Solanum lycopersicum: one gene and its partner. The protein of the gene in region 1 interacts with the protein of each later gene in a pairwise test. Links are inferred from orthologs where the notes say so. Each region holds a gene or a part of one and is shown in the gene's direction. Other genes may lie near its edges.

Region 1 (4,256 bases):
CGATTTAGATAGGTTATCGGTTAAAATTATCAAATTAATTTTTGATTTTTAAATTTTTAAAATTAAACTTAAAAGACTATTGATTTGGTTCAGTTATTTTTCACTTTTCGATTTAAAAGTAATAAATTTGGAGGCATACACGTCTTGATATACATATACACATAGTACATTAATAATTTATATGAAAATTATTGTGAATTCAATTAAGCAAGTGCTAGATTTATTATTATACAAACAAAGTAATTTTAATTAAGCAATACTCTTGATAGACATAGACACCACTTATATGAAAAATTCATGTAAAAGTTACTGTGAATTCAATTAAGTGATGCTTAAGTTATTATTATACAAAGAAACTAATTTTAATTAAGCAATAGTAAATTTCATTATACACCAAGCATCAAATCTTTAAAGCAAAAAAGAAAACCCCCAACTCAAAAATTGAGAAAACTTGGACTTAAGATTTTAATATATAGTTCATAAAATTTAATACTTAAAAGGGTTGAATTTGAGAAAATAGTAAAGGTAAAGACATAAGTTAATAAGATTTAACAAAATATTTATATTTTATTTATGAATAATATATAAAAAATTTATATAAAATTTATCGACTTAATTTGGTTATTTTTGTAGTTTTTTTAGTAAAAAAATCCAAACGAAATATGATATCAATTCAAAATTAAACACAACCAAATGAAATCCAATATAAATTCTTTTAATCAATTTAATTTTTAATGTAACTATGAGGGGGAAATAAGCAAATACTTCATAAAAATAAAACCCCATAAAAATAAAATAAGCATTTACTAATTTCGCTTAACTGATACAAAATCAGTATCATATATACTATATTGGTATCACTAACGCTGATAATTTCGCTCAATTGATATTAAATCTATATATATATATATTGTATTGATATCATTAAGATTTGTTGTTAAGATATTACTTATTAGTCAATGATATTATAAGAGCATATATATTCTTATAGTATATTATCGACTGATAAGTAATTCTTGAACAATGAAACCTTAATGATACCACAACAATATACATATATACTCTTATAATATCATTGACTAATAAGTAATTTCTGAAGAAGAAACCTTAATGATACCAATAAATTATATATATTGAGTGTTAGTTAAGCGAAATTATCAACCTTAATGATATCAATATAGTATATGATATCGATTTAGTATCACTTAAACAAAAATTATCACCCTTAATAAATGAGGGTATAGACGGTAATTATTCATGAGAGACTGAATATTTCAGAAATTACTTTCGATTTGAATATAAACTTGTAATTATTTATGATATCTTTTTTATTTGTGTAACAATAATCAATAACTTATACAAACTTAAAAAGATCAAAAACTGCTGAATTGATACTTAAGGAACTATGTTGAACTTACTACAACAATTAAGGGACCATTTTTGTCAATTTTCTCTTCCAAAAATTGTCTTCACTTCTACTCTGCAATCATCAGAAAGATCAAATCTCCAAAGCTGCGGTTCAGCCACCAGCCAGCCGCTTCATTGTGTAGGTATGTTTTCAAAGATTCAATCTTTAATTTCGATTAATAATGATTATAATTTTAAATTATCTCAAAATCCTTGTATTTGCTTATAATCTCAAGTCATTTGGTCATGAGTTGACTTGATACTAATTGATTTTGTTAAAGAAATCAACATCACTAATAATTACTATTCTGTTTCAATTTACGTGACACCTTTTTTGCTTCTCGAGATTTAAACAATGTGAATTTCACCAAAGACTAGTCAAATTAACAGTCAATAAGCAAAAAAATATCACATAAATTGAGACGGATGGAAGGAGAGAACTGCAATTTATTGGATTTAGGAGTTTATGTAAGTGGTCTTTGAGAATTATAATTATAATCCAAGATCATGAGTTGAAGTTGATTGTTTAAAGGGTATAGTTGGATGATTATAGTCTATACTTACATGAAACTCAATCTGCTGGTGCTGTCCTGTCTAATCCCTTCTCGTTTAATTTGATCGTATGAATCTTATTTGATTTTGCTGCGATATAACTTCGTTTAAAATGGGAAGAAGGAAGTGTGTGAATGTTAGTTATTTCTACTTCTGATAAGTAAAACTTTCTGGAGTTGAGATGAGGTTAAATAGCACGATATGGATAATGAGAATTCATATTGCCGACCCCTGACTTTGTTTGGTATTGAAGCCTAGTTGTTTTTGTTTTGAGGTGTTTTTTTTCGGAATTATAGGTGATTCAAATGGCTGATGAGGATAGAAATTTAATCGAGATCTTGGAAGCGAATAGCCCAATAGACTTCAACAAATATATTGGTTATGTTAGTTCTCCTAAATGTGGAGCTATAGCAACATTTGCTGGTACAACGCGTGATACATTTGATGGTAAAGAAGTTTTAGAGTTACAGTATGAAGCATATGTTCCAATGGCAGTACGTTGTCTTAAATCTCTCTGTTCTTCTGCGCGATCATCGTGGGATATCCACTCGATAGCAGTTGCTCACTGCTTGGGTACTGTTCCTGTTGGAGAGACTAGTGTATTTGTTGCAATCTCGTCTGTCCATCGAGCAGATGCATTGGATGCTTGCAAGTTTCTGATTGATGAGCTTAAAGCATCAGTTCCGATATGGAAGAAGGAGGTATATACAAATGGAGAGGTGTGGAAAGAGAATAAAGAGTTTATTGAGAGGATGCCAGAGCTTGGGAATGCATCACATGATCAAGACGGAGCTTGCTCTGGTAAAAAGAAAGTGGAGGCACACGAGAGAAAGAGCTGCTGTGGAACGAAGGTTAAAGTCAATGACGAGTCTGCAGATTCTTCTAGGTAGCTTTGAGGCACATGTTGTATTTCATTCAAACCCGAAAACTAACAAAATGGTTAGTTCATCCCTCTTTGTTGTGTGTGCAATACCAATTATTACATACTCTAGCACATCAGATTTATAGCTGAAGGCAGTTTCTTGTTAGTGTGTACATACGATTTAATTGTGCTCCCATTTAACTCATCATGATTGATTGCTTATGCCTCTAACAGAAGGGGGAGCCTTAGAGAAACGTAAGGCTAGGAGAATTTATGCACACAGTGAGTGAGCCAAAGAATAGAAGTGGTACATTAACACTAATGGATAAAACTATCACTCAACATTCAAATATTCACAAGAACCATACAATGTTAAAAGGGAATGACTTTACTAGTAAGTAAATCATATAAAAGTATGAATTTTTCAGACTTCAAAATAAGAGATCAGAAAGTTTGACATGATCTAACTTCACACATTCACAATCTTTGTTCAAGAACTTCCTATATGGACATCTCTTGCAGGGGGCAAGAGGGCAACAGCACATCTATCTGGACTAGAAAACTTCCTATAAACCGCCTTCAGCTTGTTTTCAGCAGCACCAAAGTGGAAGCTAACTAATTGTTTTGCACATTCTCTGTTTCAAACAATACATGCAACACAATTAGTTCATAATTAGTAGAGTTACCAATCCTAAATGACAACTGTTTTAACTTTTTCTTTACCTCAGCTGGTCTTCTGTGTATCCAGTGTGGTGCTTCAGAGTGTCAGTCCATCGAGGGCTCCTGTTGAGAGTACTACGAGCAGCATAAACAGCAGAAGCAGCAATCTTTGATGGACAGTAGGATATCACAGTAGTGTAGTTCATCAGCCCGAGCTCAGCCAAGAAAAATGTCATGTTCTCCATCTATAAAACAACAAAGAGGGCGCGTATAATCCGCTAAACTAGCTGTCTTTATCTGCTTAAGTAGCTGCAAATTCACATTGAGAATAAAACAATACCTCTTGATCAGATGGAACTGCAGCTTTAATGTAACGAACCAGAAAGACGTATGGCGTTGGGACAGTTAAATACCACTCCAGCTTTCCCAAGATCACTTTCTCCATTAGAAGTATCTGATCCCTGACATAAGCGTTGTCTGTTATTGTTAGGAAGTCATTAACCTGCTGCAGAGACAAACATAACATATCATCAGAGATTATGATTAAAAAATTTACTGAACAGATTTAACACATTTGCAGAATACTTCATTTTTACACCTCTGGTGCCCAAATCTCTTCATATTTGCTGGCAATAAGCATTGAGCTGATGCAAAGTAACTGAAGTTCCCTTCTAGGAACAGGCTCTTCCGACAGGAAACGGTCCATTATGTTGACTGTGAGGTACAGGCTTTCAGGCCTCAGCTCAAACCTTTTGTGTGCTTCTATCAGCCAGTC
Region 2 (4,543 bases), on another chromosome or scaffold:
TCTATGCCCGAAATCTCAAAGACACACTCATACTATACTAAGGTCCTATTACCCCTTGAACTTATTTTATAAGTAATTTTTTTTATCCTTTTTTGGCCTACATGACATTAGCTTGAAAGAAAAAGTGAATCAGCGTTGGATCCACAAGATAGTGTCACGTAGGTCGAAACGGAATAGAAAATTATTGATAAAATAAGCTCAGGGATAATAAGACGTTAGTATAGTGTAAATATGTCTCTGAAATTTCAGGCATCCGTTAAGGGGTAATTGTGCATTATCCCTTATTTTTTTAATAAACGCTAAAATAACTAAAGGCAACGGTTAAAATGAGACCAAAAGTGTAAACTCATATAAGTCAATTTAAGCTAGCGTTTGGTCATAGATTTTCAAATATTCTTGGCAAATATTATTTGAGTGAAAATTTGGGTGAAATTTCACCATGTGTTTGGCCATAAAATTTGGGAAATATATTTTACCTTTTTAGAAAAATATGATTTATACACACAAGTTTTAAAAACGATCAAAATTAACTAAAAGTTTGTAATACAAGTCAATGAATGTTCGTTACAACAATAACAAATAATGTCCATGACACTAAAGCAATGTGGTAATTTGGAGTGAGTGCAACAAGAATTATTTCATACATCGTGAAGTAAACAAAGTACATGACTTTGTTACCTAAAGCCAATTTTTAATAATTTTCATCAACAATCATATCATTATTTAATATTCACTACATATTTCATCACTATTTTGATGTTCGCGTAAAAAATGATGTAATACAACGCAAACAACTACTAGAGAGGGTGTTTTTGTAAAAGATAAAAGATTGGGGTAAAATTTTAATTTTTAAAATATCCCAAATAATGAGATTTGGCCCAAATACTAGAAAAAACTAGTATTTGGAAATTTTGGGATATTTGCCAAAAATATTTGCCAAATAATGGCAAATTGTATGGACAAACATTATTTGCCAAATTTTTTCCAAATATTATTTCTTTTTCTTTTTTTACATATTTGAATTACAATATGTTTCTATTAGACTCATATTTTACTCAAATTTTAAAACTTTTTGATGTTATTAAAAGCTCCTTAAGCTAAATATCTTTCTCTCTTAATTATATAGCCTCCAAAAGTGGTTAAACTTTAGTCCTGTTTTGGTTGATGAACTTTTTTATACTTAAGTTAATTTTATGTTGGATAAATGATTAAAAAATAATCTCTCTAATACATAGAATTTTAAATTCACTAAATTTCTTAAATTTTCTTTTTAGTTGAACTAAATAGAAAATTCTAACACTCACTATTTAATATTGAATAAAAAAGATTAGAGTAATAGTGATTGAGACAGTAAAAAAGGAAAATTATATAAGATAACGATCTATTAGTTTAAATTAAATATTATATTTATAATTTATTCGCAACAAATATCTTATCCTTTTATAATCTAATTTAGTATACAATTAGTCACTTTTAATATATAATTAATCTATAAAATATGTTTGTATCTCAGACATAAGTAAATATATTTTCATCTTAGACACAATATCTTATCCTTTTATAATCTAATTTAGTATACAATTAGTCACTTTTAATATATAATTAATCTATAAAATATGTTTGTATCTCAGACATAAGTAAATATATTTTCATCTTAGACACTTTACCTTTTAAAAGTTTCTCCAATAAAAAAGGTATTGCTCCAGCCTCCAGTGTCCCTAAGCATTTTTTTTTTAATTTAATTGTTTTTGTGCCCTCTTTTCAATTTTGCCCACTCCATCACTTCTGCGGATTTCTTTAATTTCTATCGGAAATTAGGGCAAATTCTTTGCTTAAGTCTTCGAGAGAAAGCATCCGAGGCTTCTCCCTCTTCTACTTGTGGGTTCAGGTATATTCGACCTTCTGTAATTCCTCTTTGACCAGTTCTTATGTGAATACAGTTTTTTGGTTTTGGGTGAATTCTCAAATTATCATACGAAGAGGCAATGAAAATTGCTCTATAAGTTGATTCAGCTCTTAGAAAATTGGACAATTTGCTAAAATCACATGTTTCAGAGAATTTGACCTTATTCTGAAAGATGCTAATTAACTACTCTCTTGTTATTATATACTTTGCTTATACTTAGATGCCTAAAACAGAATTATATGTTCCAGTTACTTGGAGAATACATGTTCATTGAGGAGTCACGTAGATTGTTTATGGATTTAACTTGAATCTATTTACCAGTTTGACACAAAACATCCAAAAAAAAATTGAAAAAAAAGGAAAGAAATCGAAAAGATGATCATCAGATTGGAACAGAAATTTCGTAGGTAGTTGTGCAAATGTCTTAGCTGATAAACACACATATACTCGGTTTTAGGCAACAGATTAAAAGAAAATAAAAAATAAATTAAGAACTAAGAAGAGAATCTTTTCGGTGCTCTCTTAATTTAGTGTTTACTTCCCTATTTGGGAGGTTTGTGGGGGCTGAGGGGAGGTGTAGCCTGCCATGAATCCCATTGATCTATAAACAAGGACAGCAGACATGAGCCTTATCAGGATGACAACAACAACAACGTACCCAGTGAGCCTTACCAGGATGATTAGTTCTTAACGACAGTTATCGAACTTATATTTTCTTTCAATCCAAATCAAAGTTAAATTGAATAGATACTCATGTCTTCTTTTGAAATGGTTCATAACCAAATTTTGTGTAAATTAAGCTTGAAACTTTATTTGGAATTCAACAAGTTAATGGATTAGTATATGAGTGAAATCTGGAAGCGTAGTCTGATTGTATCTATAACATAGCATAGTCGGGTGTTATGCCTTCAACAAATTGGTGTATCTTTATCCTATCTACTTCCTGATGTGGTTAGCTGTTTGCTATGCTTTCTCCTTCTTTTTTGGGGGGGTGGGGCGGGGTGGGGCTGTGTTTTGACTGAATCCTATAAATTGATCTTAGCTTCCAAAAAAATATGCTGTGTCATCTTTTATCATTTGTTTCTCAAGTAAGTTTGTCACTTTTTGTTGTTACTAGGAAATACAACTCTTCGATACTCTTTTAGTCTGTGCCAATTTTTCTAGTTTCTTTCTTACTTAAGTTTTATTTTGCTGTTACTAGGAAATCCAATACTTCTATACTATTTTAGTTTGTGTCATTTTTCTCATTTCTTTCTTAAATAAGTTTGTGACTTTCTGCCGTTACTTGGAAATCCAACTCTTCTATACTCTTTACAAGTTTATCTTAACCATAATGTAAGTACATACATGGATGTAGTGAACTTGGCTTGAATTTACCCTTTCTTTTTAGTTCTCTTGACTCATTTTAAAATGACTGTTAATTCTGCATTGAACTTAATGTTGTAAAAGAAGGAACATCATTTTCTTTCACTGTGAAGTGTGTGGACATGGGTTAATGGTTTTGGTCAATTGCAAATGCATTGTTTTCCATTACATAAGATGTTGGTCACTTTTGGTCATGTTAACATAGTTCTAAATTCAATTCTATTTTTGTGTCTTTAGTTAGTCTACTTATAGTCAGTGTTTAACTTACTTTTAGATTTCAACTTCTTGTAGAAGTTTAATTATTTAGTTGTATTTTCTTAGGAAAAAGTAACAGATCCTTTTAAATACTCAGTTATTCTTTAATTCTAGAGGGCGAATAGTCATTGTCGGAGCATAACTGATAGACGTTACCCCTACTGTTGAATATACTGGACAGGTTATTTGCAATTGTCATGATTGATAAAAAAATTGACAGTAAAGATGTGGAAGCTCTACAGCAGAATGGAGATGAGAGTAGATCTCTTCAAATAAAGTTTCTGTTTTTCGCCCGTGCTAGAGATCTGACTGGCATGACTGAAATGCCATTGGAAGTTTCTTATGGTAGTACTGCCGGTGACTGCTTGAATAAGGTCATTTCTCACTTTCCACGGTTGGAAGAGATACGTGGGTGCATGCTTCTTGCCCGGAATGAGGAATACACAGCCGAATCCACCACTGTTAAAGATGGAGATGAATTGGCCATTATACCTCCTATTAGTGGAGGCTAACTCAGTTCCTGAACTGCAATTATCGGAACTCTATTTTACTTGTATTTATGTGTGTGATCATATTACTAAGCTGTGTTATTTATTCCCTAATAATACAAGAACAAAATTCTCTTGCTAAAATCATTGAATCTGCAATGTATGGAATACTGAGAGTGTGTAGTAACAATGAACTTAGCTCACTGCCCAGTAAATGGCATTCATGAAAGATCCTAAAATGTTCTGTCTAATGGAACCTTGATGGATTTGCAAAATTTTTCCTTGCCAGGATGACCATTATCATAAAAACTATATCATACAAATGAGAAATCTATTCCCATACAAAAAGTAGAGGTTCGCGATTCAGTTTGACTAGGAAAAGAAACAAATTTTAGTCTACTTTCGTAAATCTAGTCAAGTTGGACTCTACTTTTTTTTAATTAAAATCGTAAGAACAACTTCATTAATGACACTATATTTAATTGGCTCTACTTGTAATTCTCCATTTCCAATATGCAAGTTGTTAATA

What was found.
Region 2: the proteins of molybdopterin synthase catalytic subunit (region 1) and molybdopterin synthase sulfur carrier subunit interact in a protein complementation assay, tested with the Arabidopsis thaliana proteins (2 studies listed by BioGRID). The link is inferred for Solanum lycopersicum from reciprocal best matches to the Arabidopsis thaliana genes AT2G43760 and CNX7.

Annotation. Positions count from the first base shown.
Region 1 is NC_090805.1:47,908,273-47,912,528, reverse strand, and holds molybdopterin synthase catalytic subunit, read left to right. Parts: upstream 1-1,412; 5' UTR 1,413-1,550; intron 1,551-2,255; 5' UTR 2,256-2,264; coding exon 2,265-2,849; 3' UTR 2,850-2,898; exon of another isoform or gene 2,899-2,994; intron 2,995-3,055; exon of another isoform or gene 3,056-3,311; coding exon of another isoform or gene 3,312-3,456; exon of another isoform or gene 3,457-3,543; intron 3,544-3,544; coding exon of another isoform or gene 3,545-3,726; 3' UTR 3,727-3,821; coding exon of another isoform or gene 3,822-3,986; 3' UTR 3,987-4,078; downstream 4,079-4,256. Other genes in the region: G2/mitotic-specific cyclin S13-7, read right to left, coding at 3,312-3,456, 3,545-3,726, 3,822-3,986, 4,080-4,256. UniProt on the Arabidopsis thaliana protein: Catalytic subunit of the molybdopterin synthase complex, a complex that catalyzes the conversion of precursor Z into molybdopterin.
Region 2 is NC_090801.1:68,009,286-68,013,828, reverse strand, and holds molybdopterin synthase sulfur carrier subunit, read left to right. Parts: upstream 1-1,728; 5' UTR 1,729-1,888; intron 1,889-3,707; 5' UTR 3,708-3,723; coding exon 3,724-4,038; 3' UTR 4,039-4,158; downstream 4,159-4,543.